3 linked regions of the Oryctolagus cuniculus genome follow. The protein of the gene in region 1 interacts with the protein of each later gene in a pairwise test. Links are inferred from orthologs where the notes say so. Each region holds a gene or a part of one and is shown in the gene's direction. Other genes may lie near its edges.

What was found.
Region 2: the proteins of C7H1orf216 (region 1) and ODAD1 interact in binary tests that used the Homo sapiens proteins (3 or more experiments, as listed by UniProt). The two-hybrid records come from large-scale screens. The link is inferred for Oryctolagus cuniculus from reciprocal best matches to the Homo sapiens genes C1orf216 and ODAD1.
Region 3: the proteins of C7H1orf216 (region 1) and MYRIP interact in binary tests that used the Homo sapiens proteins (3 or more experiments, as listed by UniProt). The two-hybrid records come from large-scale screens. The link is inferred for Oryctolagus cuniculus from reciprocal best matches to the Homo sapiens genes C1orf216 and MYRIP.

What each region holds. Positions count from the first base shown.
Region 1 is NC_091438.1:136,909,252-136,919,283, forward strand, and holds the start of C7H1orf216 (UPF0500 protein C1orf216 homolog), read left to right. Parts: upstream 1-5,036; 5' UTR 5,037-5,287; intron 5,288-7,898; 5' UTR 7,899-7,903; coding exon 7,904-8,578; 3' UTR 8,579-10,032.
Region 2 is NC_091449.1:8,688,617-8,698,548, forward strand, and holds part of ODAD1 (outer dynein arm-docking complex subunit 1), read left to right. Parts: intron 1-5,630; coding exon 5,631-5,753; intron 5,754-5,869; coding exon 5,870-5,983; intron 5,984-9,154; coding exon 9,155-9,222; intron 9,223-9,932. UniProt on the Homo sapiens protein: Component of the outer dynein arm-docking complex (ODA-DC) that mediates outer dynein arms (ODA) binding onto the doublet microtubule. Involved in mediating assembly of both ODAs and their axonemal docking complex onto ciliary microtubules.
Region 3 is NC_091441.1:107,434,428-107,444,359, reverse strand, and holds part of MYRIP (rab effector MyRIP), read left to right. Parts: intron 1-2,770; coding exon 2,771-2,851; intron 2,852-6,340; coding exon 6,341-6,438; intron 6,439-6,640; coding exon 6,641-6,721; intron 6,722-8,247; coding exon 8,248-8,376; intron 8,377-9,932. UniProt on the Homo sapiens protein: Rab effector protein involved in melanosome transport. Serves as link between melanosome-bound RAB27A and the motor proteins MYO5A and MYO7A. May link RAB27A-containing vesicles to actin filaments. Functions as a protein kinase A-anchoring protein (AKAP).

The sequences.
Region 1 (10,032 bases):
TGGAATAATTTGTTTTTCTTTAAACAACATCTTTGCAATACCTGCAGTGTGAGAGCTTCTCTCCTGTGTCTGCTTTCTCCTGATGAGCTCCTGGTCAGCTCTGGGGACCTGGCAAAAACACCCCTCTCTGGAGCCTCTTTTGTGTCTGTTAGTTTTGTCCCCTTGCTCTGTTGCAGGGCTTGTCACACTGTAGAGCCCCCTCTTCTGTCTCCCTTTAGAAAACTGTAATTTTGATTCTGCACTGAATCCCCATCTCAGGACTGGGCGCAGAGGAAGCATCCTGTTTGTAACTGCGTGCTACACGTGAGTGAATGGATTTGGGGAAGGGGCCAGGGCTTTTTTTTTTTTTTTTTTTTTTGACAGGCAGAGTTAGACAGTGAGAGAGAGAGAGAGAGAAAGGTCTTCCTTCCGTTGGTTCACCCCCCAAATGGCCGCCACGGCCGGCATGCTGCGCCAATCCGAAGCCAGAGCCAGGTGCTTCCTCCTGGTCTCCCATGGGGTGCAGGGCCGAAGGACCTGGGCCATCCTCCACTGCACTCCTGGGCCACACCAGAGAGCTGGCCTGGAAGAGGAGCAACCGGGACAGAATCTGGCGAGGGGCAAGGGCTTTGAGGCTGAACCACATGATCCTGGGACTGTGCTGTGGCCCAGTGGGTTAAGCTGCCACCTGTGATGCCAGATCCCATATGAATACTGATTTGAGTCCTGGCTGCTCCACTACTTTTTTTTTTTTTTTTTTTAAGATTTATATATTTGAAAGGCAGAGTTACAGAGAGAGAGAGAGAGAGAGAGAGAGAGAGAGAGAGACACCTTCCATCGCTGGTTCACCCCCCGACATGCCCACTACAGCCAGTTCTGGGCCAGACTGAAACCAGGACCAGCCGCTCTACTTCTGATCCAGCTCCCGGCTAATGCTCTTGGGAAAGCAGCAGAAGACTGCCCAAGTCCTTGGGGCCCTTCCCCACGTGGGAGACCCAGATGAAGCTCCTGGCTCCTGGCTTTCACTTGGCCTGAGCCAGCCCATCTAGGAGTGAATCAGCAGATGGAAGCTCTGTCTCTGTCGGTCTTTCCCTCTCTGTGTAACTCTGCCTTTCAAAGAAATCTTTAAAAAACAAAAAAAGAAAGAAAGAAACCCCTTGATCCTCCCATCCTTTTTTTTTTTTTTTTTTTTTTTTACAGGCAGAGTGGACAGTGACAGAGAGCGACAGAGAGACAGGTCTTCCTTTTGCCGTTGGTTCACCCTCCAATGGCCGCCGCGGCCGGCGCGCTGCGGCCGGCGCACCGCGCTGATCCGATGGCAGGAGCCAGGAGCCAGGTGCTTTTCCTGGTCTCCCATGGGGTGCAGGGCCCAAGCACCTGGGCCATCCTCCACTACACTCCTGGGCCACAGCAGAGAGCTGGCCTGGAAGAGGGGCAACCGGGACAGAATCCGGCGCCCCGACCGGGACTAGAACCCGGTGTGCCGGCACCGCTAGGCAGAGGATTAGCCCAGTGAGCCGTGGTGCCGGCCGATCCTCCCATCCTTTCTTCCTGTGAGAGTTAGCATAATCATCCACCCAGGAGGAACTCCTGCCTGTCCGATTTCCTGGAGTAGAAATTCTTTTCCTTTTTCGTGAGTCCTTGCCTGACACCCCAGACCCTGGGCCTGGCTCTGGGCCTCACTGCTAGCCTCTTTTGGCTCTGGCCCCTGTCTGCCAGATTCTTGTTTACTGCCTATGGCTGGATCTTCTTGAGGCCTGGCCTGTGCAGAGCCCGATGCAGGCTGGTCCTGCTTGGCCATCCTTGGTGATGTCTGTGTCCCTTCCAGTTAAGTCTCTGGCATATGTGGTATAGCCATAGTTACCCCTTCACTTGGGGAAACTGGTTCCCTGGTGTCCTGGCTGGTGAATGAGTAACAGACATCTCTGCATCTACTTCTCTGTCTTCAGGCAGACAGCCCTACCTTGCTGGGCCTTTTCTTCTCCAGGCTCCCTGCTTTCTGAAAATTATGGAGTGGCCCAGGACCACTGCCCATGCGTTGGCTGTGTTCATTATGCAGTGGTAGAGTATCCCACATAACGCTGTCCTTGATTTAGAAAAGAGAGGTTACAGTCTGGAGATCTTGGAATTCACTTATCAGGTATTATGTTATTTAGATGCAACTAGATTTACAGAACACAATGGAATTGATGACTCAGCTATGTCAGGTTGGAATACTGCTTGCCTAGGCTTTAAACTATTTTTTTTTTTTTTTTAATTTGAGAGAGAGAGAGAGAGAGATCTCCCATCTGCCAGTTCACTTGCCCAAATGCTCACAATGGCTCAAGGCTGGGTCAGGCCAAAGCTAAGAGCCAGGAACCAAATTCAGTTCTCCCATGTGAGTGACAGGGACCCAACTACTAGAGCCATCACCACTGCCTCCCAGCACACATCAGCAGGAAACTTGAGTCAGAAGCTGGAACCAGTACCAAACCCAGGCATTCCAATGTGATCTCAGGCAGCCCAGCCCACCAGACCAAATACCCACCCCCCTGCAGGCTTTAAGACAATGATCAACATATAATTATTTGTCTTTTTAGAAAAGAATATGTATTTTTTATTTGAAATTCAGAGTGACTGAGAGATGTCTTCTATCTGCTGGTTCACTCCTCAAGTGCCCACAACAGCCAGGGCTGGGCCAGGCAAAAGCCAAGAGCCAGGAATTCCACTGGGGTCTCTCTTGGGAGTGGCAGGGACCCAAGTACTTGAGCTATCAACTGCTGCCTCCCAGGGCAAGAAACTGGATTGGAAGTGTAGGAGTCGGGGCTGAAACCAGACAGCATCCCGAGAGGACTCTTTAAAAAAAAAAAAAAAAAGATTTATTTATTTATTTTACGGGGCCAGCATTGTTGCGTGCTTCTTCTTGAACTTATGAAGCTCTTGTTTAACTCACGTGGTTAGAGCTGGGGGGTCAGAGCCCAAGGAGAGGTGGGGAGAGGCTATTCTGCGCAGACCAAACAATCGGATGACTTCATGACCAAGAGCTCAGAGCCTTGAGGAGTTTGGGTCTGGGTCACTTCATAAGGAAGAAAACTGATGGCTGATGGCAAGGGGATCTTCTATTTATTTATTTGAAAGAGTTACACACAGAGAGAAGGAGTGGCAGAGAAAGAGAGGGAGAAAAAGGTCTTCCATCTGCTGGCTCATTCCCTAAATGGCTGAATCAGTGCAAGCTGGGCGGATCCGAAGCCAGGAGCCAGGAGCTTCTTCCGGGTCTCCCGCGCAGGTGCAGGGACCCAAGGACCTATGCCATCTTCTACTGCTTTCCCAGGCCATAGCACAGAGCAGGATTGGAAGTGGAGCAGCTGGGACTCGAGCCGGCACCCATATGGGAAGCTGGCACCAGAAGTGGCTTTACCGACTACACTATAGTGCCAGCCCGGCAAGGGGATCTTGCAGTAGGAGAGGGAAAGGGGAAAGGGAGGGGAAGGGGAAAGGGGAGGGAAAGGGGAGGAGACATGGCCTTAGGGCCTGGGTATGAATGGGGCTGAAGTCACCACCTATATTCTCTTAGCTGTTACCCAAACTTTGACTTTTGCCTTCTATCCCCTATTCTGTTTTAAAATCGCAGTTGTTGTGATCATAATTTTTTCTCTCCAGTTCCCCTGCTTTTGCATGTAGGTTTGTTGGTGTGGTGCGATGTGCCATCGGGTCTCCAGGTTGTAGAATGGTGAGTCAGAATCACGTGGGAACCGGAAGAGGATGCTTCATAGGGTCAGAAATGACTCTGTTCTCTAATTGCAAACTGAGCTCTCTACACACGTACTACAAGGAGGAAGGGAGTGACAGGGATCAGGGTCAGTGAGTGGAACTCTGACAAGCTACTCCAGCTTGGGACCGAGGACTTTCTTATCCAGTTACATCTGTGCACATGGGCAACTGCACAGGAACCCACTGTGCAGGCGCCACGGAGGGCGTCTGTGCCTAGCAGGAATTCTCTGCAACCTGAGCTCTGTCCCAGGGGACTCTTTCTATTTTTTTTTTAAAGATTTATTTATTTATTTGAAAGTTAGAGTTACACAGAGAGAGAAGGAGAGGCAGAGAGAGAGAGAGAGTGTGTGTGTGTCTTTCATTCCTGCTTCATTCCCCAAGTTGCTGCAATGGCCAGAGCTGCACAGATCTGAAGCCAGGAGCCAGGAGCTTCCTCCGGGTCTCCCACGTGGGTACAGGGGCCCAGGACTTGGGCTATCTTCTACTGCTTTCCCAGGTCATAGCAGAGAGCTAGATCAGAAGTGGAGCAGCGGAGACTCGAACCAACACCTATATGGGATGCCGGCATTGCAGGCGGTGGCTTTACCCAATACGCCACAGCATATTAAAAAAAAAAAAAAAAAAAAAAAAAAAAAGTAGCCTTCAGTCTGGCTTTGTGGCGCAGTGGGGTAAGCCCAGGCCTGCAATGCCAAGATCCATAGGAAGGCTGGCGGAGTCCCTGCTGCTCCACTTCAAATCAGGCTCCCTGCTAATGTACCTGGGAAAGCAGCAAAGGACGTCCCAAGGGCTTGGACCCCTGCCACTCAAGTGGCAGACCCAAATAGAGTTTCAGGCTCCTGGCTCCACCATTGTGGCCACGGCCATTTGGGGGCTGGATCTCTTCTCTCCCTCTCTGGAACTCTGCCTTTCAAATACATAAATAATTTTTTATATGGGGCGTGCACTTTTTAAATTTTTTTTTAATTTATTTGACAGAATGATAGTGAGAGACAGAAAGGTCTTCCTTCCGTTGGTTCACTCCCCAAATGGCCGCTGAGGCCCCTAAATAATTTTTTAAAGTAGCTTTCATTAATGATGAATCAGATGTGCACACAATTAATATAAAATTCCAGATTTTGATCAAAGGAACATAAGTGCTCTGAGATGATACAAAGCGGGGGACCAGTCTTGTCTCGGGGATCACAGAAGGTTTCTCAGATCTGAAATGTGGGGAAGCCTAGCCAGGAGACAACATTTCAGGCAGAGGCTGCGGTGCGTGCCACAGCCTCGAGGAAGGAGGGGCCCAGCGAGCGCCGTTAGGCGACAGCCAGACCTGGAAGGCCTGGCCTTGAGCAGCCGGCGCGGGGGAGGCGGCTGCGGCGCAGGGGCCCCGCGCAAGGCTCCCACGCAGAACCGAACCGGCCCACGTGGGCCGCCCCAACCCCGCCCCGCCGCGCAGACGCCGCCAGCAGCCGCAGTCCGGGCCCGGGCCGCGGGAAAGCCCGGGCGAGACACCCCCAGGCCGAGCGGGGCGCGCCGGAACCAGAGCCAGCTGCGCCGGAGCGGGCGCCTCCAGGCCGTGAGTCCGGGCCGAGGGGGAGGACTGGGGGCCCCGCCGCGGGGGCCGGGGGCTGGGGGCTGCAGCCCGCGCCCAGCGGCCCCTCCGCGGAGCTCTGCGGGGACGGCCTCTGCCCTATTCCCCGGGGGACGTCTCCGGCAGCGCCAGGAAGGAAGGGCGGCCGCCGCTGCTCCCGGCCCTGGCAAATTGCGGATTAACTGGGGGTGGGGCCGGGGTCTGATCCCCATTTTACTATCGCTGAGAACCCAGGATCCTCAGCGCCACCACCAGCCCATTCCAGCCTGCTTAGGAAAAAGACTCGGGGGAGGCTCCAGGCACCTAAGTGCACACTTTGGTGGGAGGCCTGGGGGTCCGCAGGTCACCGCGGGAATCGTTCCCACTGGATCCTTCCAGGCCTTCTGCCCTCTCCCAACTGTGGGAAGAGCCTGTGCCACCTTAGGGGTCCCCCTGGGGCCTGCTGCCCTTACCTTGTACCCCTTAGTGACCCTCCGGTTTCCCTGTCCTGGGAGTAAGTGTGTGGTCGTGGTCGGGAGAAACCTCTTCTCAGTTCAGACCGGGATTTTGGTGGAAGCCCTGCTAGGAAGAGGGATGCCCTTTGCACTCCCTCCTGGAACTCCGGATGGGGCAAACTAGGGCCAGGATGCAGGTGGTGGGGGAAGAGGGATGGCGCATCGGGCGTGGCACCTCAGTGCTTGCTCCAGGAGCGTGATGGGGGGAGCTGGAGGAAGGCATGAGGAACTGTGTTTACATTTATTAAGGGCGGGGCAGATGGAGGGGGGATTCTCAGGCAGGCCTCAGAGCATTTGCCGGGTGGAGAGGGAGGAGCTTAGAGGGGAAGGGAGAGGCAGGCACTGCAGGCCAGAGCCATAGTGGAGCGCAACAATAGTGGATCTTGAGCTCCTGGAGCAGTCGGATGTGATGGGAGGCAGGGTGCGGGTGCTCAGGGCCATTAGGCCATGTAGATCTTTAAGAGGAGTTCAGGAACAGTACTCACTCAATTTTTAAATTTGCATTTTAAAATTCATTTATTTATGGGGCTGGCATTGTGGCATAGCGGGTAAAGCCACCGCCTGCAGTGCCAGCATCCCATATGGGCGCTGGTTTGAGACCCGGCTGCTCCACTTCCAATCCAGCTCTCTGCTGTGGCCTGGGAAAGCAGTGGAAGATGGCCCAAGGCCTTGGGCCCCTGCACCCTCATGGGTGACCTGGAAGAAGCTCCTGGCTCCTGGCTTCAGATTGCCACAGCTCCGGCCATTGCAGCCATCTGGGGAGTGAACCAGCGGATGGAAGGTGTCTCTCTCTCTCTCTCTCTCTAACTCTGCCTTTCAAATAATTAAATAAATCTTTTTTAAAAAATTCATTTATTTATTTGAAAGGCAGTGACATGGCCGGCGCCGCGGCTCACTAGGCTAATCCTCTGCCTGCGGTGCCGGCACACCGGGTTCTAGTCCCGGTCGGGGCGCCGGATTCTGTCCCGGTTGCCCCTCTTCCAGGCCAGCTCTCTGCTGTGGCCAGGGAGTGCAGTGGAGGATGGCCCAGGTGCTTGGGCCCTGCACCCCATGGAAGACCAGGAGAAGCACCTGGCTCCTGCCATCAGATCAGTGCGGTGCGCCGGCCGTGGCGGCCATTGGAGGGTGAACCAACGGCAAAAGGAAGACCTTTCTCTCTGTCTCTCTCTCTCACTGTCCACTCTGCCTGTCCAAAAAAAAAAAAAAAAAAAAAAGTCAGTGACAGAGAGAAGAGAGAAATACCAATCTTCTGTCTACTAGTTCACTCTCCAAATGGCTGCAACAGCCAGGGCTGGGCCAAGCTGAAGCCTGGAGCCAGGAACTCCATCCTGGTCCCTATGTGAGTGGTAGGGGCCCAAGTACTTGGGCCATCTTCCACGGCCTTCCCAGATGCATTAACAGGAAACTGGATTGGAAGTAGAGCAGCTGGGACTTGAACCAGCTTTCTGATATGGGATGCCAGCATTGCCACAACAGCTTCACCTGCTGTGCAACCACGTTGAGCCCCCAAATTTACATGTTTAGCCACAGGAAGAGAGATTAGTGAAAAGGCTGTGGCACTAGTCCAGGTAAAAAATGGCCTGAGCCAAACGAAATTGAAGAGGAAGAATTGTCTGAATTTGGTGATTGATAAGAGATGAGGGACGGAAGGAAAATGCTTATTCCAGGATGCTTCCGGGCTCTGGCTGGGGTGGCTGAACAGGGAGCAGAGCCGTCTTGCTGAGGACACGAAGATGGGAGCTGGCTGGGACTGGGAGATTTCCAGGGGCCTGTGGGTGGCTGCAGGGCTGGGTAACAGTTGGATCTGGGCTGGAGACAGATTGGAGAGTTACCAGCATATGATGATTCCCAAAGCTGCAGCCCACAGCCGGGTCATCTGGGGAGAAGCGTGTAGAACGAAAAGGCAGCCTGCCTCGGAGCGCTGAAAAACACGCTGTGCAGGCTACTGCAAAGGAGCAGTGAGGGAGGTGGGGACCAGCAGGGGCAGTGCGAGCCCAGCCAAGGGGAGGGGATGACAAGGAGCTGCCAGGCGTGTGCCTGCTGCCCTGTGGCCAGGCTGCTGTGGCTCTGTCCTGTGTGACTCTTCTGCTTCCCCTTTGCAGACCAGATGTTCGCCATGGAGCCAGGGCTAGCTGAGGGGGGCCCGTTCCTGGGGGGCCCGCCCCCCGGAGTATGCCAGCCCCAACCAGACAGCAACTCCAACTTCATGGCAAATCCCAGGGACGCCAATGAGAACTGGCACGGGATGCCAGGCACCGTGGAGCCCGTCCTGAGGAGGAGCTCCCCCGAGCAGCCCTCCAACAACCAGGCTCCCAGAGCCCCCGAGGAGGGCGTCCGCAGCCCCCCGGAGGGAGCAGAGATTCCCGGGGTTGAGCCTGAGAAGATGGGGGGCACCAGCACACTCTGCTCCCCTCTGGAGGACAACGGCTATACCAGCAGCTCCCTGAGTATCGACAGCCGCAGCAGCAGTCCTGAGTCTGCCTGTGGGACCCCTCGAGGCCTGGGCCCCCCGGATCCTCTTCTGCCCTCCGTGGCCCAGGCTGTGCAACAGCTGCAGGCTCAGGAGCGCTATAAAGAGCGGGAGAAGGAGAAGCACCATGTGCACCTGGTGATGTACCGGCGCCTGGCACTGCTCCAGTGGATCCGGGGCCTGCAGCACCAGCTGGTTGACCAGCAGGCCCGGCTGCAGGACAGCTTCGATACCATCTTAGACAATCGCAAGGAGCTTATCCGGCGTTTCCAGCAGAAGGCAGCACCATCTAGGCCCCAGGACCAGGGCTAAGGCTGTGCCCCCACAAGTGTGCGAGGGTATATATGTGTATGTTTGCAGGCATGTGTGTGGCTGTGCACAAATAAGTATATGATTATTTGCTAGCTTGAGTGCGGGTAAGCATAATGAATGAGTGTGTATGTGCTAACATAAAAACGGGTGTGTGCAGGTATGTGTGAATGAGCTTGAGTGTGCTGTTACATGTGAGTATGTAAGAATGAACATGTATGTAGCATGTATGTAATGGAGTGAATTTGTATATGCAAGTGTGGACAGGTACCCAACAGCGTGTGTATGTGCATAAGTGAGGATGTTTATGCACAAGATGTGTGTGTGTGTGTGTGAATGTGTAGGCATGTGCTAGGTGTGTGTGAGTGAACCCCTGTGTGTGCAGGCCTATATGTCGGGGTGCATATGTATTTGCAGACAGACTGGTGAGCAGGTGCCTACTGATTTCATCTGCACACATCCTGTGTTACCCGTGGCCTACACCAGCCTTTGTTTTCCTCTGGGTCTCACTGTCCCCCAATGAAAAATGGCTGGCCTGCTGTCAGTTGAAGGATGTACCCTGCTGTCATCTATCTGTGGCTGATCCATTCTCCTAGAATTTTCCAGACCATTTCTCTTCATCTCTTCCCCTCACTTATCCTATACCTTGCTCTTCTCGCTCACTGTCCTTGATGCTGGCTTTGCTGTGAGGGGTTTAGAGGCTGTTCTGGCCTACCACAGCATTTTGTAACAATATTTATTTATTTATTTGAAAGGCAGTGTTACAGAAAGAGAGAGAGGTCTCCCGTGCACTGAATCATTCACCAAATGGCCATAAGGCAAGTTCAGCCTCCTGGGCCTGGCGATCTGATGGTGGTCTCTCAGCAGCTTCCCAGTCTGATGAGGGTGTCTTGGCCCTGCCTGAGAGAGCCCTGCATGAGATTGTCCTTGTCCTAAGTCACCTGTCTGGAGCCAGGAGCTTCTTCTGGGTCTCCCATGTGGCTGCAGGGCCCCAGGGACTTGCGCCGTTTTTCTGATGCTTTCCCAGGTGCATTTGCAGGGAGCTGGATCAGAAGTGGAGCAGTTGGGACTTGAACCGGCGCCCGTATGGGATGCTAGCATTGCAGGCAACAGCTTGACCCGCCACGCCACAACACCAGCCCCCTGCCATAGCATGTTATCTACAGTTTTTCAGAGCAGTTGGTGGAGAATTGGCTTGAGGGAAGGAAATTGGGAGCGGGAAGGTGCAGCTCATGGCAGGAGGTGCCAGGGAAGGTTGGGGACTATTCCTCTTGGGCTCTGCCATTGGACACACTGGACATGGTGATAGGGAAATGACAGTGGCAGAGCCCTTTGAGGAACAGGAGAGTGGAAATTCTAACATAGCAGGTCCCTAACCGACCGAAGCATTGACTTAAGTTTCTGCCGAGAAGGAACGTGCGCTCACAAGCTTGCAAGAAATAGGTGGGTGTTCCAAG
Region 2 (9,932 bases), on another chromosome or scaffold:
TGAATTTGAGAAAGGTTCGCCCTTTGGAATTGCGGCCGTGCCGGCCCGGGAAGATGACGGCAGCGCCGTGCCTCTGCCTCAGGACCTTGTACTCCATGCACCCCTGATGCGCGCAGCTGGGAACACGCAGTTAAGGGCTTGCACGTTTTCCAGTTGGGGTTCTCCCTTCTACTCTGTCGAGGCCAGGTGCGTTCCTGCACATCCTCGCCTTGTTCTAGACAGGGGTTGGACAGCAGCTTGTCCTGGGGGCCCTGCATCCTTTCTTACCTCCACCGTGGCAGGTTACACCTGCTGCACACAAATCGGTTACCTTAGGGGTCTGGAGGCCGGAAGTCTGAGGTGGGTCAGGTCAGGATGTGGGCCCCGCGAGCTGTGCAGAGCCCTTCCCAGCCTCCGAGGCCACTGCACTCCCTGGTTCGGGGCCCCTTCCTGCATAGCCGGAGCCAGCAGTGGCCAGTGGAGTCACCCGGACGCCTGCCCCATCTCATCCTCCCCGACTCTGGCCCCTGGGATTACCCTGGGCCTGCTGGGTCCGTGCAGAAGGGTCTGCGTCCCGAGATCCTTGCACACAGTTCTCCTGGTGGCTTGAAGGAGCAGCCCGGCCAGAGGTCCCGGGGTGGGGGCGTAGGCATCTTTGGGGGGCTGTTACTCTGTCACCACTTGGTCCTCTGTTGTGAGTCTGTCTGGCGCCCAGTCTCACCCCGCTGGCTTTGGGAAAGTGGATTCTGACGTCCCCATGGCCGACGTGGGCTGTTCTTGGCAGTGTGCCGGCTCTGCAGGTGTGGGCCGCTTGAATTTCTCCCCTCAGGCTTTCCTGACCCAGGCCCAAGCAGAGCGATGTTCGCAAATGAGAAGTCTGGTCTGTTGAAGGGCTGCCTTTTAAAAGAACCCCCCCGCGCGCTCCTGACGGTCACCGTGGGAGTCTGGCGTGTGTGTGACTCACGTGTGCGCTCACGGCCGTGAAGCACGGAGACTGACACACAGCCGCCGGCGTCAGCCCCTTCACGGCTGCAGTCCATGTCCATCCCTGGCTTTTGGCCGACAGGAATGAAGAGCGGCCTGGGGGCAGGGGTTTGGGCCACTGGTTCAGGGCCTGCCTCAGAGGACCTGGGTTCTGTACCCGGCTCTGGCTCCTGGTGCAGACGACGGCTCAAGTGGTTGGTTCTCTGCCACCCACGTAGGAGACCTGGATTGCGTTCCCAGCTCCTGGCTTTGGCCTGGCCCAGCCCTGGTCGTTACAGACATTTGTGGGAAGGAAGCAGCAGATGGGAGCTCGCTCGCTCTCTTTCTCTGTCTCTCTCTCTTTCAAATAAATAAAATTTAAAAAAGAGGGCAACCAGAAAACATCTACAACAAACATCATATTTGATATTGAAACATGAAACAAGTTCTCTTTGAGATTAGCAAGAGTGACAGTGTGTCAGCTGGCACCATTGCTATCAGCATATAGTGGTGGGAGGGCCTGCCTAGTAGGGCATGGTGAGGGAAAGGAAAAAGAAGATTAAAAGATTAGAGAGGAAGAGTGAAACTGTGATTATTTATAGAAGCTACTGTGTACAAAGAAGGTTCTGAAGACTAATGCCAATTTATTAGAATTAGCAAGATACTTTAACAGTGTGCTAACATCAAAATTCATATACAAAGTCTCTTATGCTTCCTGTATCGGCAGAGGAACTTTGAGAAAATAAAATAAGACAAACATACAGCCAGCCGAAAGCCCTAGGAGGAAATCTAATAAAGAGTGTGCAAGGCCTCCTTGGAGTTACATTATAACATTTTGTGTATCTGCTGAAGATTTATTTTAGCTATTTGAAAGGCACAGTTATAGAGAAAGAGGAAGAAAAAGAGAGAGTGGGAGGGCTGCCATCCACTGGTGCTCCCTCCAAGTGGCTGCGACAACTGGGGCTGGGCCAGGCCGAAGCCGGGAGCCTGGAGCCTGGAACTCCAGGCACGTCTCCCACGTGGGTGCAGGGGCCCAACCACGTGGGTCAGCTTCCACTGCTTTCCCAGGTGCATTAACAGGGAGCTGGATCAGAAGTGGAGCAGTCAGGACTCCAGCTGGCGCCCGTATATGTGCCAGTGTGGAAGGTGGCAGCTTAACCCACTGCACCACACACTGGCCTCCGATTATAACGTATTGCTGAGAATTTTAAAGACGGTAACTAATGTGGCAATGTACCACATCCACGGATCGGCAGAGCCAGAGTTGTAGATTGTCAGTTGTCCCAAACTAATTTAGGCATTTGACGTGATTGCAAAAAAAAAGTTTTGGTGAGTGTAATTGACAAGCAGATTCCAAAGTTTATATAAAAGTGCAAAGAACAGGGGCTGGCGCTGTGGCACACCAGGTTAAGCCGTGACCTGCAGCGCCGGCATCCCTGCTGTTGTGCCTGGAAGAGCAGTGGAGGACGGCCCGAGTCCTTGGGCCCTACCCCAGTGGGAGACCTGGAAGAAGTTCCTGGCTCTTGGCTTCGGCCTGGCTCAGCCTGGCCATTGCAGCCATTTGGGGAATGAATAAGTGGATGGAAGATTTCTCTCTCTCTCCCTCTGTCTCTGTAACTGTCTTTCAAATAAATAAATAAAAAGAAAAAACAAACAACAATGAGAATAAAAGCACCAAGGTGAAGGAGCACTGGTGGGGGGTGCAAGTGGTCACACGTGTTCTGAAAAGCCCTTGCCTCCTCACCCACCCCCGCCCCCACTCTGTTAAATCTGGAGACAGACCTACCCACCACCTCTGACCAGGGCTGCGTCGTGTCTGCGTGGTCACCATCAAGGGCTCTCGGGGTCATCCTGGCACACTGGTGGGACCCGGCAGGCTACAGCTTGGCACCAGGTCACTTCTTTCTGCAGAGGGAGAGAAGGCAGGGAGACAGTGTCAGCACACCCTCCTCGGGCCGCTCACAGCGGGGCTGCAGGTGCTCTGTACCCAATCACGTTGTTTGCATGATAAACGTTGCCTGGAAACGCAGCTGACATTCTGAATTCACCCCAGCCCAGTGTGTTTCCATGGAAACAGTGCTGGCAGCAAGCCAGAGTGGTCTTTCCACAGTTTAGATCTGCTGTACCCCTCCCACCGAGAAGTTCCGGTTCTGAGCATCGGCCCGGGGCCGGCCTGTGGCCAGCGTGAGGCAGAGTGCTGGCAGGTGCATCTTCATCCCAGCCCTGACACCCATCAGAATTTGAATGAGTCCATCGATGTGGTGTATTTGTGATCCAACAGTATACAGCAGTGAGAAATGAAAGATCTTTGTCTCTCCTCTCTCTGTGACTTTTCCTTTCGAATAAAACAATTTTTTTTTATGAAACAATAATGCAAAGAGCTCCCTTAGAGAGAGAGCTTCCACCCACTGCTTCACTCCCCCAAATGCCCATAACAGCCCGGGTTGGACCAAGCTGAAGCCAGGAGTCAGGAATTCCATCCAGGGCCCAAGAAATTGAGCCATCATCTGCTGCTCTCCCAGGTGCATTATTGGGAAGCCGGATTGGAAACGGAGCAGCTGGGACTCCAGCTGACACTCGGGTGTGGGCTACAGCATGGCCTGCAGTGGTTTAACCTGGTCTGCTCCAGTGCCGGCGTCTGAGGACTTGATTTTTATCACAGCAACTGCTGAACACCCAGTTTCACAGACGTGACACCACAGAAAGGAATGTAGTGGAATCTGATGGTAGATACCACTACTTTGGGAACCACCTTAAGCTAGAGGTTTTTTTTTTTTAATTTATTTTATTTATTTGAAAGACAGAGTTACAGATAGAGGTAGAACCAGAGAGAGAGAGAGAGAGAGAGAGAGAGAGAGAGAGAGAGGTCTTCTATCTGCTGGGTCATTCCCCAGATTGGCCAGAGCTGAGCCAACCCAAAGCCAGGAGCCAGGAGCTTCTGGGTCTCCCACGCAGGTGCAGGGGCCCAAGGACTTGGGCCATCTTCCACTGCTTTCCCAGGCCATAATAGAGAGCTGGGACAGAAGTGGAGCAGCCGGGACTTGAACTGATGCCGGCGTTGCAGGCCTGGGCTTTAACCCGCTGCACCACAGTGCTGGCCCCTAAGCTAGCAGTTTATGTGGTGTCTGGACAAAAATCAGTATCCTCAAAAATCGAAAATATCCCTGTGGTGTTTGGTGTGATGTCTGGAGGTATGTTGGTGTCTTCCACGAGTTCATGGAAATGTGTATTACGAAAAAGCTATGCATGGGGCTGGTGCTGTGGTGCAGCGGGTAAAGCCGCGGCCTGCAGTGCTGGCATCCCATATGGGTGCAGGTTTGAATCCCAGCTGCTCCACTTCCGATCCCACTCTCTGAATGGATGGCCCAAGTGTTTAGCCCCCTGCATCCACGTGGGAGACAACTGCTCCTGGCTTCCGACGGGTCCAACTCTGGCCATTGTGGCCATCTGGGGAGTGAACCAGCAGGTGGAAAATCTTTTTCTTCCTCTCTCTCTCTCTCTAATGCTGCATTTCCAATCAATCAATCAATCATCTTTAATAAAAACCTATACATGGATTTGAATTATTTTTGGCATCAAAATAAACTCACCTTTTAATTCCACTTGCAGACTCTCTGAAGTCTCCTTATGCTATTTCACTGAGGTCTCTAACAAGGCACACAAACTGGGGTGGGTGGGGGCATCCAACAGCAAGGCATCGTCCCACAGTCTGGAGGTCTGAAGTGCAAGGCCAGGGAGTCTGCAGGTCTGCTCCAGGCTCCGCCCCTGGTGTCTGGTGCCCCCTGCCACGCAGAAGCGTCGGCCCCATTGCTGCCTTGGTCTCCACATGGCCGTCTCCCTGTGTGCACCTCTGTGTCCCAAATACCTTCCTGATGAAACAGCAGTCACATTTGATTAGGCCCCTGCCCAGTGATCTCATTATATTTTGTTATTATTTTTAAGGATTTATCTATTTATTTGAGAGGCAGAATGACAGAGAGAGAGGGAGAGAGGGAGAGAGGGAGAGAGGGAGAGGGGGAGAGAGAGAGAGAGCAAGCTTCCGTCTGCTGGTTCACTCCCCAAGTGGCCACAACGGCTGGACTGGGCCAGGTTGAAGACAGAGACCAGAAACTCCATCGGGGTCTCCCACGGTGGGGGCAGGGGCCCAAGCACATGGGCCATCTACCACTGCTTAGCGTATTAGCAGGGAGCTGGATCAGAAGTGGAGCAGCCGGGACTCGAACCAGCGCCTGTATGGGGTGCTGGTGTCCCGGGCGGTGGCTTTACCCACTGCACCACAGCGCCGGCCCCATGATCTCACTTTAACTCAGTGACCTCTTGGGGTCCGGCCCTGCCTCACTACCTACTTGTGCCTGCCAGCCTCCTTCTCCCAGGATCCTCTCTGTTGGTGGCGGTGGCAGGGGCTACGTCAGCAGGCGTCCTGGGACCTCAACCTCCCATCTCAGGCGTTTCCCCCCAAACACCGGGAAAGGAGGCAGGCTGGCCAAGCTCTGGGCTCGTGTCTATCTCCAGGCCAGTCCCCGAGGTTGGCCACGGTCAGGGCAGCATGTTAGCCTCACCAGAGCCACACAGAGAGTCACTGGGAACTGTCAGCTGGGCCACCTGGACAGAAGACGGCAGCCACGGCCGGGCACTCCCTCTCGCCCACACTGGCTGTGACAGACAGGAACCAGCCTCTTTCTTTCCAGATCCAGGAGTGGGAGACCCGGATCTTCACCCAAAGTAAGGACGTCATGGGCCCGGGGGTCGTCCTGGAGCAGAAGGTGAGGATGCAGCGGCGGATCAAGATCCTGGAGGACCAGCTGGACAGGGTGAGGGGCGGCTTCGCGGAGGGAGGGCCCCGGGGAAGCGGGCTGCTGGGGACCCAGCTGGGCCAGGCGCCAGCCACACTCTCGCGTCTGCCTCCCCCCGCCCCCCCCTCCCCCAGGTCACCTGCCACTTTGACATCCAGCTGGTGCGGAACGCGGCCCTGCGGGAGGAGCTGGACCTGCTGCGCATCGAGAGGAACCGCTACCTGGAGGTGGACCACAGGCTACGGAAGGTCAGCGGACTCCTCCCCAGGTCCTGCCTGCGGCTGTGCGCCCGGGGCTGCAAGGGCGGAAGTGTGGGAGGCGCCCGGCGCGGGCAGGGGCAGACTGGCAGAGAGCAGAGCCAGGCTCCAGGCACCTGCCTGGCCTCTGGGGCCCACTGAAGAGCCAGCCCATCCTCCCGCCCTTCCTCTCTCTCTCCCCCTGTGTGTATGAGTGATGGTGTTTTCGCCAGAGGAAGCCTATCACTGTGACTGTGGAGCTGTTTGGCGGCGCCTGGCGGGGCTGATGCGTTCGGTGCGGGTTTCCCATGGACGCCTCGCAGCTCTGCGAGGTGGGACCTGAACGCGGGAGAGCGTTCCAGGCGGCCTCTGTTCGGTGGTCCCAGCGCTGCCCTTTGCCATTCCAGGCCAGGGCCCCAGCACATGGGTGCACCTGGAGCCGCCGGCTTCCCGCGGCTTTGTCCCCTGACCTTGACGTTTCGGAGGCTTCCAGGACGCCGGCCGTGGCTGGACGACGTCCCGCCCCGTGGGTCCTGTCCGCTCTGTGTGGCAGCCTCAGCAGTGCGGGCACGGGGGGAGGGGGCGCCCGAGGCGGGCAGCTCTGATCCCCGTCCCTGTGGCCTGGTGAATACGTGGCCTGCAGTGTTCGGGCACGGGCCTTGCTGCGCAGCTGGTTCCCTAACCCTGTTGTTTGTCCGCCTGGGGGTGTGTGCATGGGCGGGAGCCTCCCCACCCCCCTTCCCACTGCAGTCTCGGGTAACAGGCAGCCCTGAGTGTGGCTACCCACCTTGACGTGCAGACTGTCCCTGTCACTCCTGTGAGCCCTTCCTTCCTCTGGGGCACCGGGAGGACAGGCTAGGCAGGCGGGACCTGCGCTGTCCCAGTTCCCAGGGACTCCTGGTTTCTGTCCAGTGAGGAGCAGGTGTCGGGAAACCAGGACACAGGTGCCCTCATTGCTCTTGGCTTCTCTCAAAGCCCTGAGAAACCACATGCACGTTTTATTTATTGACCTAAAACATTTATTTATTTATTTCAAAAGTCAGAGTTACAGAGAGAGGGGGAGAGACACCCACAGTGAGAGAGAGCTCTTCCATTCTCTGGTTCATTTCCCAAATGGCCACAAAGCCAGCACTGTGCCAGACTGAACGAAGCCAGGAGCCAGGCGCTTCCTCCAGGTCTCCCAGGTGGGTGGCAGGGGCTCAAGCACTTGGGCCACCTTCCATTGCTTTCCTAGGCCGTAGCAGAGAGCTGGATCAGAAGTACTGCAGCCAGACTCAACCGGATGCTGGCGCTGCAGGTAGTGGCTTAACGTGGTACACTACAGTGCCGGCCCACATGTGTATTTTTTTTTTTTTTGACAGGCAGAGTGGACAGTGAGAGAAAGAGACAGAGAGAAAGGTCTTTCTTTTGCCGTTGGTTCACCCTCCAATGACCGCCGCTGGCGCACTGCGCTGATCTGAAGCCAGGACCCAGGTTCCTCCTCCTGGTCTCCCATGGGGTGCAGGGCCTAAGCACTTGGGCCATCCTCCACTGCACTCCCGGGCCACAGCAGAGAGCTGGACTGGAAGAGGGGCAACCGGGACAGACTCCGGCGCCCCGACAGGGACTAGAACCCGGGGTGCTGGCGTCGCTAGGCAGAGGATTAGCCCAGTGAGCCGTGGCGCTGGCAACATGTGTATTTTAAAACGAGTTTATGTCAGTGCCTGTGATCCAGTCCAGCATCACTATTTTTTTTTCTAGAACGTTCCCAGTTTCAGCTATCTCCTTCCCACAGTGGGGACCCTGGCTCAGTCACCCGACACGTGCAGAATCGTTGCAGCTCCGCCCGCCCCACACCCCCAAGCCTGGGGCAAGGAAGAGCTCAGGGCTCGAGGCTCATGTGGGTCATGCTTGGTGCCCAAGGGGAGGGGTGTCTGCAGATGGAGCAGAGTGACCGCCTCACTGCCCCAGCCCCGCTGCCCCGTCCCAGCTGTCCCTGCTGCCCTGTCCCTACCATCCCCGCTGCTCCAGCCCCGCCGTCCCCGCTGCCCTGGCCCCGCTGCCCCGTCCCAGCCTTCCCCGCTGCCCTGTCCCAGCCGTCCCTGCTGCCCTGGCCCCGCTGCCCTGTCCCTGCCATCCCCGCTGCTCTGGCCCCGCCGTCCCTGCTGCCCGGGCCCTGCTGCTCCAGCCCCGCCGTCCCCGCTGCCCTGGCCCCGCTGCAGCTCTGCCCTTCACTGGCCCCCGCTTCCCTCTGCACTGGCTTTCCGTTTCTCTCTCTACTGATTTAGTTGCCTTTGTCCTCTGTGAACGTTAGCAAGGCTCCCGAATCACAGCTGTCCCTACGCAGACCTGGAGCCTCCTCCATCTCCCCCAGCCCTGTTGCCTCCTTTTTAACTTTTATTTATTTATTTATTTATTTATTTATTTATTTATTTATTTATTTACTGGAGAGGCAGAGTTACAGACTGAGAGAGGCAGAGGCAGAGAGAGAGGTCTTCCATCCGCTGGTTCACTCCTCAAATGGCCGCAACGGCCAGAGCTGAGCTGATCTGAGGCCAGGAGCCAGCAGCATCTTCCAGGTCTCCCACGCGGGTGCAGGGCCCCAGCACTTGGGCCATCTTCTACTGCTTTCCCAGGCCACAGCAGAGAGCTGGATCAGAGGTGGAGCAGCCGGAACTCGAACCAGTGCCCATATGGGATGCCGGCACTGCAGATGGTGGCTTCACCCGCTACACCACAGTGCCAGCCCATTTCCTTACTTTCTGATAATCCATTCTGGGTTTCTGTTTGCAAAAGTAAATGTGTACATGTGTGTGTGGAAAAAAATGGAATGAAAAGATAACTTTATTTTGCTGTTCATTTTCGAAATCCTACCTGGAAGTGTGTGTGTGTGCATGTACAAAATTCCCCACCTTTCTCCATCCTTCTCTTTCTCGCTCATTCTCGAGAATGCTTTTCACCCCCCGCCCCGGGCACTAATGTGGACGTAGGAGAGCAAGCAGTGTGGCCACAGGGCCACGGTTCAGCGACGCCATCCTGGGGAACATTCACGGGCAGGCGTTTCCCAGCCCCTCCACTGGCTCTCCCCTGACTGCCGACCTCCCGCTGCACCCTTCCCAAGCTCAGGGGTCGCCCTCGCGGGTGGGGCAGCGCGGGCTTGGGGAGCTAAGGAGCCGGCTTCTCTTTGGTCCTCCTCCCCGGCAGGAGATGCACCTGCTGCAGCACATGGTCAGCACCCTCATCCTCTCCTCCACCTCTGCCTACGCCATCAGGTAAGGGCCCCTCCGTGGCGTCCCAGTAGGGCGGGGCCTGGGTGATTCAGGTGCATCTGCCCGAAGGCCAAGGTCCCATTCCTGGGGTGTGCAAATGAACCTCATTGGCCCCCGTGGCTCGTGGCTCCCGGTCTGCAGTGAGTAAGTAAGGCTTCCTTACCCCGTGGCTAGTGCAGGGCCAAGGGAGATGAGGCAGAGGCAGGGCACCCAGCAGGCGCTGGCGGAAAGGGACGGAGACTGTCCGGCCACTTCAGGCGGGGACGCTCTGTACAGGACGGAGCTACCCTCAGTGCGGGCTTCTCTGGCTGACTGTGGCTCTCAGGGGCTCCAGGCTCTGCCTCTGCCCCTCTCCCTGCCTCAGCCCCGTTCCCCTCCTGCTCCCCACGCGTGGTTTCTGGGTCTCTCCCTCACAGGGAGCGGCACTGGCTCTCCCTCGGCCGTCCCTGGCACCGGAGCCTCAGCCCTCACTCCTACTGAGGTCCAAAGTGCTCCCCCCCCCAAAGGAAACCCTGGCACTCACTGTCCTCCCTCCTCTCCCTCCCCTCCCCGAGGCCCGGCAGTCCCCAGGCTCCTTCCTGTCCCTGGGGTTTGCGTGTTCTGGACGTTGCACGCTGAGGCAGGCACACAGTCCTTGGCTGTGGCCTTCGTGTGGGCCTCTTTCCTGAGGCCCATCTACCCTCGGACCACCACGGCTCCGATCTAGCCTCTCA
Region 3 (9,932 bases), on another chromosome or scaffold:
TGGAGGATCCTATAGAGCCAAGCACTATACTGATTTCTCTCCCTTTCTTCCTAGGGCCCCACAGGTAGAGGTGGACAAGAATCCCAAGTGGGCTGGTGCAGGGCTTTGACATGTACAAGTGTCCTTTTCAAAGGAGAACCAGTTGCTGGGGCCAAGCACCTGCCACGGTTGAAGTTGACTGAGGTGCTGAGTCCCTGTGACTCACACTTGTTTAATCTGAGCCTCAGTAGCAGCACATACCACGCTGCATCCAGGTGATGCCTCACAAGGCCACATCTCCAGCCAGTCCCTGATGTGCAGGAGGTAGCTTCTCCATCTCTGTGTTCCCGAAACAAGGATCCGTGCCTGGCACATCATACCTTCTCACTACTGCAGTAGTTCCATCTGAAACGCACCTTGTGAATTCAAAGACATTTTCTAAAAGTGCATATTATAATCAGTTGCTTCAGTATGATGGTATCTCCATGTAAACCACGGTTTCCTTTTGATAAACATGAAAACAAGCAGATAGGCATCAATTTATGAGATGATACCCAAGCCTAAATCCACAATCACCAGACAATGTTTTAACGTGCACACCTTGTCCTGCCATCTGTCCCTCCCAAGCTAGCCTCACTCTTCTCCCTTGGCCCATATCAGGTGCTAGATTAGGCCTAAAAAAGGAGACTCATTGTTTTTCCAGATAGGTCTCAGATTTGTCCATTTCTTTAGTAAACAGTTTTTGAACACCACCTGTGTAAAAAAGTTGAGGAGGTGCTGGGCTACCCCCTGCCATCGCAAAGCCAGCATTCCAGTAAAGAAATCAGATTCCTAAGTAACCACATTTATAAGTAACATAGTGTCCAATGGCATTGAGTAATTCCATGCCCATCTAATGGAGCCAGCATGACATTTTTAAGTTATCCTAAAAAGAAGCACTACATGAAAATCTAAAAGTAGCCGTTATTAACATACTTAGTCTTGAAACCATTGGAAAAATAGTATGTGCTTCTATTTCATATTGGATAAATACGATGGGGAAAGCAAACCCTGCTGCACATATTAGTGCTGTGTCTATTTTTGACATGATTATTGGAAAGGTCTCTTGCATCTTTCATCTGGGATTTGATTGACGCATGTGAACTTTTGAGAGAGCTGGATTACATGAAATCAGAGGTTCGTCCAAGTCATGAGAAGCAGTGACTCAGCGTCCTCTGGCTGCTGACTCATTGTGCTCCCTAACAATTGCTGTCTGCCCTTGGAGAGAATCACATCGTCCTAAATGACACGGATGCTCCCACCTATGCATTTAAAGAGAAACAGAGGGCCAGACATTGTGTAGACAGTCTTGATTTCAAGTCTTGAAAAACAGGAGCTTGTCCCCTGATGAGCCCAGTCCTGTGGCAAGCTCACACACATTTTAATATAATCTCTCCTCAAATTCTGCAGTTTCCTCGTTTTCTCAGTGGAGTACCTCGCCTTCCTCTGCACATGTCAGACAGGCTACCTGAGGCTGCAGTTGGGGCACCATCCCCCTACTCTGTCTACTGCCCCTCCTCTCGTTCTTTGCATATAATTCCTGTCACCTTCCAGGAAGGTCTCAAGGTCACTCTGTCTTGCCTATCCAACCCGTGTCTTAAACAGATCCTTCCTGGTGGTTTCTAAGCACACCCGAGTCTCTCCCAATTCCTAAATTGCATGTTTCTCCACTCATTGCTCTGCCCATCTCAGCACAAGCCAACTCCAGAGAGTGGGCGGCACTTGGAGCTTTCATGTCCTGTCCCCCCTCACTCCCCATCTCCCCCTTCTCCTTCCAAGCTCTTCTCTACACAGTAGCCATGACACACCTGTGGAGGCACAAATCTGATCCCTCTCTGGGACCCCTCATTGCCTCTTCTATAAATCCTTGGATGCGACCTGTTCTCCCATTGCCCATGCCTGTGCAAGCCACTTGCTAAGCTCTGTTCTCTAACCTGCTGGCAGCCCCTTGATTGCATCCTCACTGGCTAGATCAGTCTTCCCCACTGAACATTTTAACTGTACTGAGAACTATGCCGTATGACTCCTGTTTTTCTGGAAACTGAGTGTTAGATAAGGAAACTTGCTCAGAGTCACACAATTAGAAAGATGCCTGTCAAGGAACTGATCTCACACTCTCTCTTTCTTTGACCTCTCTGTTACCTCCAAAGAAGGTATCTTAGACCATTTTGTATTGCTGGACCAGAACATCTTGAGATTGGGTCGTTTATAAACAGTAGAAGTTTATTGGGCTCTTGAGTTCTAAGGGCTAGAAGGTCCAAGAGCATGGCCAAGGTCGTCTTGCCACGTTATCCCTAGGCAGAAGGACAGGAGAGCATAGACAAGAGGCCGAGAGAGCAAGAAGGGGCCACTTTTGTTTCAAGCTCACTCTCCTAATAACTAGCCCACTCCAGAGAAAACACATTAATACATTCGTGGAGCAGAGCTCTCAAGACTTAATCACCTGATGTTGGTTTCCACCTCCCAGCATTGTTGCCTAGGGAATTAGCGTTCAGCATGAGTTTGGGAGGCAATAAACATTCATGTCACAGCAGAAGGTACTGGAAGAGAGTTACAGGAGACAGAATGCTTCACCAGGAATTATTGTGAGAGGGAGGAAATATGTACAAGATGACAGCCTTATTGTGGTGGCCCCAGTGATTCTCTAAATCCACTTGCAAGGCTAACATAATCCAAGTGAGTACTGGTGATTTGCCAGTGCAATGATGTCCCCTATAAACCTTTTATTCTCTCTGTCTCCCTCTCATTCTAGGAGGAGGATTGTTTGAGTCAAATCTGGAGACTGAAGGAAGCGTTTCAGGAAGTGACTCGACGTTTTATAGGCAGTCGGAAGGTAAGGTTGCTGGAGTTGATAGCTACTGGGAAGTTGGAGGAAAAAAAAAAAAACCTTCAGAGTCTCCCAGATCCCTTCTTACTCCTGGATGCAAATACACACACACACACACACACACACACCACACACACACAATGTGGCCTGGAAAACTATTCAGTACCCAACTCTTTGATGATCAACTGGCATTGAAACTTAATAATCAGTCCTCTGATTTGTGCATCTTCTTCTAAAATATTCCTAGAAATAATTAATCCATTTATTGGTTAACTTTTTTATAATAAGGATTTTATTTATTTATTTGTGAGATAGAGTTACAGAGAGGGAGAGAGAGTGAAAGGTCTTCCATCTGCTGGTTCACTCCTCACATGGCCACAATGGCTGGAACTGGGCTGATCTGAAGCCAGGAGCTTCTTCCAGGTCTCCCATGTGGGTGCAGGGGCCCAAGGACTTGGGTCATCTTCTGCTTTCCCAGGCCACAGCAGAGAGCTGGATCAGAAGAGGAACAGCTGGGACATGAACCAGCACCCATATTGGATGCTGACGCTATGTACATAAGCTTAGCCTACTACGGCACAGCGCAAGGCCAACTTGTTTTTTTTTTTTTATACCAATAAAATAGTCCCCTTAGAGCAGTGGTTAAAAGCAAAACAGACTTCTAATTTCAAAGAAAAACTGCTGAAGCACTTTAACTCCTTCTCTAAAAAGCTTGACGTTGGCAAGCCGTGCCTTCTAGATTACTCACCCGTGTCTCCAACAGTTCTTGCTCTGGGTGTTGGGATGCTTAATCTTATGTGTCAACTTGACTGCCCTAAAGGATGCCCAATGGCTAGTAAAGAACGATTTGTGGGTGTGTCTGTGAGGGTGTTTCTAGAGGAGATTAGTGTCTGAGTTAGTTAAGAATATCTGCTCTTACCCATGTGGGTAGATACCAGCAATTCTTGAGGGTCCAGATAGAACAAAAAGGCAAAGGAAGTACAGATTCCTTTTTTATCTTCCAAACTTGACACAGCCATCCTCTCCTGCCCTGCATTTCCACTTCCTTGAACATTATTTAAAAATTCTTGATGAGCATATATATATATGAATATGTAGTGATCAATCAGGATAGTTAACGTTTCCATCTCCTTACTGTTACTTTATGCTTGTACACTCCTCTCTTCTACTCATTCATAAACCATGGAGTAGCTTCCCGTGAACTATGTCTGCCTGCGATACGTAGAATACTAGATCCTACTCCTTCCATGTAACTGGGTACCCATTGGGCAACCTTCGCTCTCCTCCATGTCCCACCATCTTTCCTACTTTCTAGCAGCCACTACTTTATATTCACATTCACTTTTTTTTTTTTTGCATCCATGTATCACTATTTTTCTTTCTGTGTCTTAGCTACTTCACTCAGCTCACTGTCCTGCCACCTATCCGTGCTGCTGCAAGTGATCACATACGTTCCTTTTGTGGTTGTGTAATACGTCACTGTGTGTGCACACCACAGTTTCTTTATCCACTCATCCATTGATAAGCATAGACATTAATTCCACATCTTAGCCATTGTGATAGTGCAGCAATAAACAATGGGAGTAGAGGTATCGATTCACTATGCTTATTTCCTTTCCTTTGGATGCTACTCAAATCTTGGATAACTGAATCCTATGTTAGATCTGGTTTTTAATTTGAAAGGCCAAGTTACAGAGAGAGAGGGAGAGAGGAAGAGACAGAGGATCTTCATCCACTGGCTTGCTCCTGTTCTTTGTCTTTTTTAATTTTTTAACTTGAAAGGCAGAGAAAGAGACAGAGAATCTTCCATCCAGTGGTTCATTCCTTAGTTGGCTGCAATGGCCGGGACTAGGGCAGGCTACAGCCTGGAGCCAGCAGCCTCTTACAGGTCACCCACGTAGGTCCAGGGGCCCAAGCACTTCGGCCAGCTTCCACTACTTTCCCTACCGTTAACAAGGAGCTGGATCGGAAGTGGAGCAGCTGAGACTGGAACCGGTGGCCATATTGGATGCCAGCACTGCAGATGACGGCTTAACCCACTGAGCCACAGCACCAGCCCCGTTGTGTTGTTTTGTTTTGAAGCAGCCTCCTACTGTTCTCCACAATGGCTATGCTAACTTAAAGTCCCACCAGTAGTGCATAAAGAGTTCCCTTTTCCAGGCTGACGCTGTGGTGTAGAGGGAGTCACCGCCTGCAGTGCCAGCATCCCACATGGCCGCCGGTTTGAGTCCTGGCTGCTCCACTTCTGCTCCGGATCTCTTCTATGGCCTGGGAAAGCAGTAGAAAATGACCCAGGTCCTTGGGCCCCTGAACCCATATGGGAGACTTTGGAGGAAGCTCCTGGCTCCTGGCTTCAGATCAGCCCAGCTTTAGCTATTGCAGCCATTTGGGGAATGAATCAGTGGATGGAGGATCATTCTCCTCTCTCTCTCTGTCTTTGAAATAAATAGATCATTATTTAAAAAAAAAAAAAAAAAAAAAAAGCTCCCTTTTCTTCATGCTCTTTCCAGTATTTTTTTTTACTTATTTTTTAAGATTTATTTATATGTAACTCTGCCTTTCAAAATAAATATATAGAGAGATCTTCCATCCACTGGTTCACTCCCCAGATGACCACAATGGCCACAGCTGGGCTGATTTGAAGCCAGGAGTTTCTTCTAGGTCTCCACACAGGTGCAGGGACCCAAGGACTTGGGCCATCCTTCACTGCTTTCCTAGGCCACAGCAGAGAGCTGGATCAGAAGAGGAGCAGCCAGGACTCGTACTGCTGCCCATATAGGATGCTGGTGCTGCCTGCAAAGGCTGAGCCTACTATACCCAGCGCCGGCCCCTTGTATTTGCTTTTAACCAGTATCACAGCCCAGTATTCTTAGGACATTTAATAACTTGTATCCCTGTCATCACAAGGACACATTATGTGAAAACAAAAATAATGTCTGTCTGACAAATTGGATAAAGAACCATTGTTTCCTTGTATTGGACCCTTAAGCTGTTACTTTGTTAAGCCACCGTGTGTGCTCGGATCTGTCCTTAGTGTCAGGATGCAACAATGGACGCAGCCAGATCCTGCTGAGAATGACCTATGGGAGGGGGACAGGGGGTGGAGTCTGTCCGGCTCCAGAGGAAGCAAACCCAGGACCCTGGATGGACATCAAGGCACTGGGGTGATTGAAGGGATCAAGGAGGAACCCTGGGTTGAGCTTTAGGGTCCCCAGAACCAGGAGCAGGAGACCATGGGCCCACGGTGACGGAGTCATGCCAAGAGAGCCGGTAGCTCTCAGGATTCCTGAATAACTCTACAGTGCACACGGTGTGAATGATGCGTGGGGACAGAGCGGGTAGGTGGGACAGCAGGGAGCTCTGTGCGCCCCCCTGAGCAGTGTGCCTCTCACCCTGGAGCCCCTGAAGGACTGGGGCGGAGGAGCTGCAGGTGGACCAGTCGGTGTGTGCCTGCTTCCCTTGTAGACCTTACTCTGTGTTCTGTTTCCCGTGCAGGACACAGCATGATGGACACCTTGGCTGTCGCCCTGAGGGTGGCTGAAGAAGCCATTGAGGAAGCCATCTCCAAAGCAGAATCCTACGGGGACAGCCTGGTAGGGCCTCCCCTTGGGCCCTGTGGGTGGTGGTGGCTGGGGAGTGGGGGCAGTCGCTGGCTGCCAGGAGAAAGTGGATTGTCAGGAAATCGGTGTTACAGCAGCCCCCACGGGAGCAGTGCCCACCTCCTCTGCTCCCAGAAGAGTGATTGCCAGGTCCCCCCAACCCCCCTCAGCACTCAGCCCTTCTCTTGATCCTCAGGACAAGCAGAACGAGGCCAGTTACCTGCGGGACCACAAGGAGGAACTAACGGAGGAGTTGGCCACAACCATCCTGCAGAAGGTGGGTGCAGCCTGGCCGCCTGGGCCTCTGCTTTCCTGCCTGTGCCTGGGCCAGGACATTTTTCTTTTTCAGCTGCGTCCCACATGTGGGAAGCCCAGAGCCTGGAGGCCTTTGCACAGATGTCCCTGTGACGTCCGAATGGCTGTCCTGCACAGCGAGTGGTCCGGCTGAGTGGAAGCGGAAGCCGTCCTGGTGACTGCGTGTCTGGCCCCTCCTCCGCAGGGGGCCACACCCTCGAGGCAGGATTCACGGCCAGACTGCAGGCTGGGACCCCTGAGACCCAGCCACAGCGTGCGTGGGTTGTGTGACCCTGGCTGCTCGCCTCGTCTCTCTGAGCCTATTTGCTCATCTGTAAAATGGGGTGAATTAGGGCATATTTCTCTTAGAAACACTCTGAATGAGGTAAAGCATATACAGTACCAAGCACAGAACCTACTGTATTGTAGGCCTCTGACACAGTTACGCCGAAGACTTGCGCTGAGCCCTCCATGTCTGTGGGCTTGGCATCCCTCAATTGAACCAACTGTAGATCCAAAATATTTGAGGGGCCAGCATTGTGGTACAATGAGTTAAGCTACCTTTTGCAATGCCAGCATCCCAGATGGGATTACCAGTTCAAGTCCTGTCTACTCCACGTGTAATCCAGCTCCCTGCTAATGCACCTGGGAAGGCAGTGGAAGATGACCCAAGTGCTTGGGCTCTTGCATCCACATGGGAGACCCAGATGGAGTTTCAGGCTCCTGACTTGAGCTTGGATCAACCCTGGCTGCTGTGGCCATTTGGGGAATGAGCCAGTATATGGAAGAAATCAATCTCTATCTCTGTCCTCTCTCCCCACTCTGGTCTAATAAATAAATAAGTCTTTAAAAACAGACTTGAAAAAACAATTCTGGAACTTTCCACAAAGCAGACTGTGAATTTGCCACAGGCCAGGCAGGGGGCTGAATCGGTACAGATGAAGCGAGGTGTAAGCTCACCATGCGACAGCCTCTACGGTTCTACAGCTCCTCCGCCTGCCTCCAGCACCTGCTGGCCTGCGGTTCATGCTCTGTGTAGCTGGACCTACGATGCCTGGTCTGTACTGAGCACACACAGACTGTTTTCTGTCACTCTTTGCAGACGGTAGTGGGTGCCGTAAGTAGTCCAGAGAGAGTATAAAGGAAATGGGATGTGGTGCTGAGGCTCTGTGAACATACTGCACCATTATATATAAAAGGGGCGGAGCATCCTCAGAGGTTGGGTTCTGCAAAGGGGTCTTGGAAACCATCCTCATGGACCCCCAGGGATGACTGTATTTGCCAACTGTAAAGAGCTGAAGAATGTTCAAGGCTACCACCGTGCTGTCTCATCGTAAGGCAGCTCGGAGACAGGCTGGCATTCTATGGCAACCAAGCTCCTTGATTAGATTTAAAAAAAAAAGAAAAATCCCAAAAGTAGTCCCAGGTACTTGTCTCTGGGACCCTGTCCACGCAGTTTGTGGAGCCTGGTCCAATAACTTGTCCCGCTCTTTTCACACCCCTGCCCAGATCATTCGAAAGCAGAAGAGCCGAAGTGAGCAGCAGGTGGAAGACGAGCCCCCGAGCTGCAGCCTGCAGGCAGTGGACAGCGGCGGCATGGCCTCCCCAGGAGCCCGCCGAGCTCCCGCCACCCTCTGGGTGAGTCCCCAGCGCATGCTCTGTGCACTTGAAGTTGACCGGTGCCTACTGGATCTTAAAGGACAGAAGGAGAGAATGAATGAATGAATGAATGAATGAGAGTGGGGGGCGGGTGGGTGAGAGAGGAGAGACGGAGACCAAGGAGGCACATAGAGGGGGCTTTTACCCAGGGAGCAAGAAAGGGGAGAATGAAGATGTTGATGTGCGGCATTTTTAATCCATCAGAGGGAATAGCTTCATGAGGGACACGTGCATTCTTACAGTGTAGCTCACCTGCTTTACTCCAAAACAGGAGAGACAGCAAGAAAACCACCATTGGCATCTCAGCCATCAGAATGGCCACATCTGGACATGGTGGGGAGGCCTCAGTGTGGTGCCACCCCTGTTTTTGTCTGGCACTCTAAGATCGACGCCATGGGCACAGTGCTCCCGGAGCTCATACAACCCTTGGCTGCTGGGCCAAGGTAGCCCAGCAGGGGGCGCACAGGGCACATGCAGGACACTGCAGTGATGGGGAGGAGCCAGGTGGAGCAGGGTCAGCCAAACCCTGGGGCGCCCATGGTTAGAGCATAGGGCCTGGACAGGGCAACGCACAGTGTGGTTTAAAACTAGAAAGTCAGAAGTGGAGAAGACAGCAGCAGGAATCATCGTTTTCCCCAAGGCCTCCGGTGGGACTCATCCCAACAGGGGCAGGGTTCACAAACAGCCTGCAAGGTAGCAGGGGCAGTTCCAGAAGTGATTGCCATTCCTCTCCTGCAGGAACTCCCCGAGGCCTCACCGCGCGCCCAGCAGGTGGGGGCAGCGAGGAGTAACTTAGTGCTTTATCAGAGATTTGCCTTTGTCGCTGGATTGGCAGAACTCCCCTTGCCGGCAGGCTGCTGGCTTGTGTTACTGCTGCTATTGTGTGTTCAACATCAAAGACAGCAAAATAAACCAAAGACTTGGGTCTCTTCCCTCCAGAACTTTCCATGCCGGTTAGCAAGGCAGGAGGGAAATGCAGTTAATACTGGTGAGAAGGAGAAGCTAGGAGACAGGGCAGAGGTGGGCATCCAGGTGAAAGACGCAGACTGGAAAGGGATTCAGGGTTCAGAGCAGGAGGGTACCCTGCTGGCAGTGAGACGGGGAGGCCCTACTGTGCAGAGCAGAGGTCGGATGCCCTTCAAGTAGCCTGTCACTCAAACTCAGTAACTCACGCCTGCCCTTCCTGGCTTCCACCTGCATGCACCTTGCATTTGGAGAGTATTTCTGAAGTGTTTTCTGCAAAGTCAAAGACTCGCGTTTTGGGGGCTCTGAGAAGTAGAAATCCCAATGGTATCCGCAGACTCAGGAGTGGAGGAGTCAGAGTCAAGTCCAAGGAGCCTGTGCCTGTGCCGCGGCTGGGATGGGATTCTGGGTTTGCTCTTGACCCTGACCACTGGGGTACCAACTCCTTTGCCCAAAGGATTCCTCACACAGGCACCTCCATCTTCGTTGGGCTGCTTTGAGTGGGGGGGGGGGGCCTGTGGGGGTGCTGTGGAGTTGGGGCTCCCTGCAGAAACAGCAGGCTCCACAGTAGT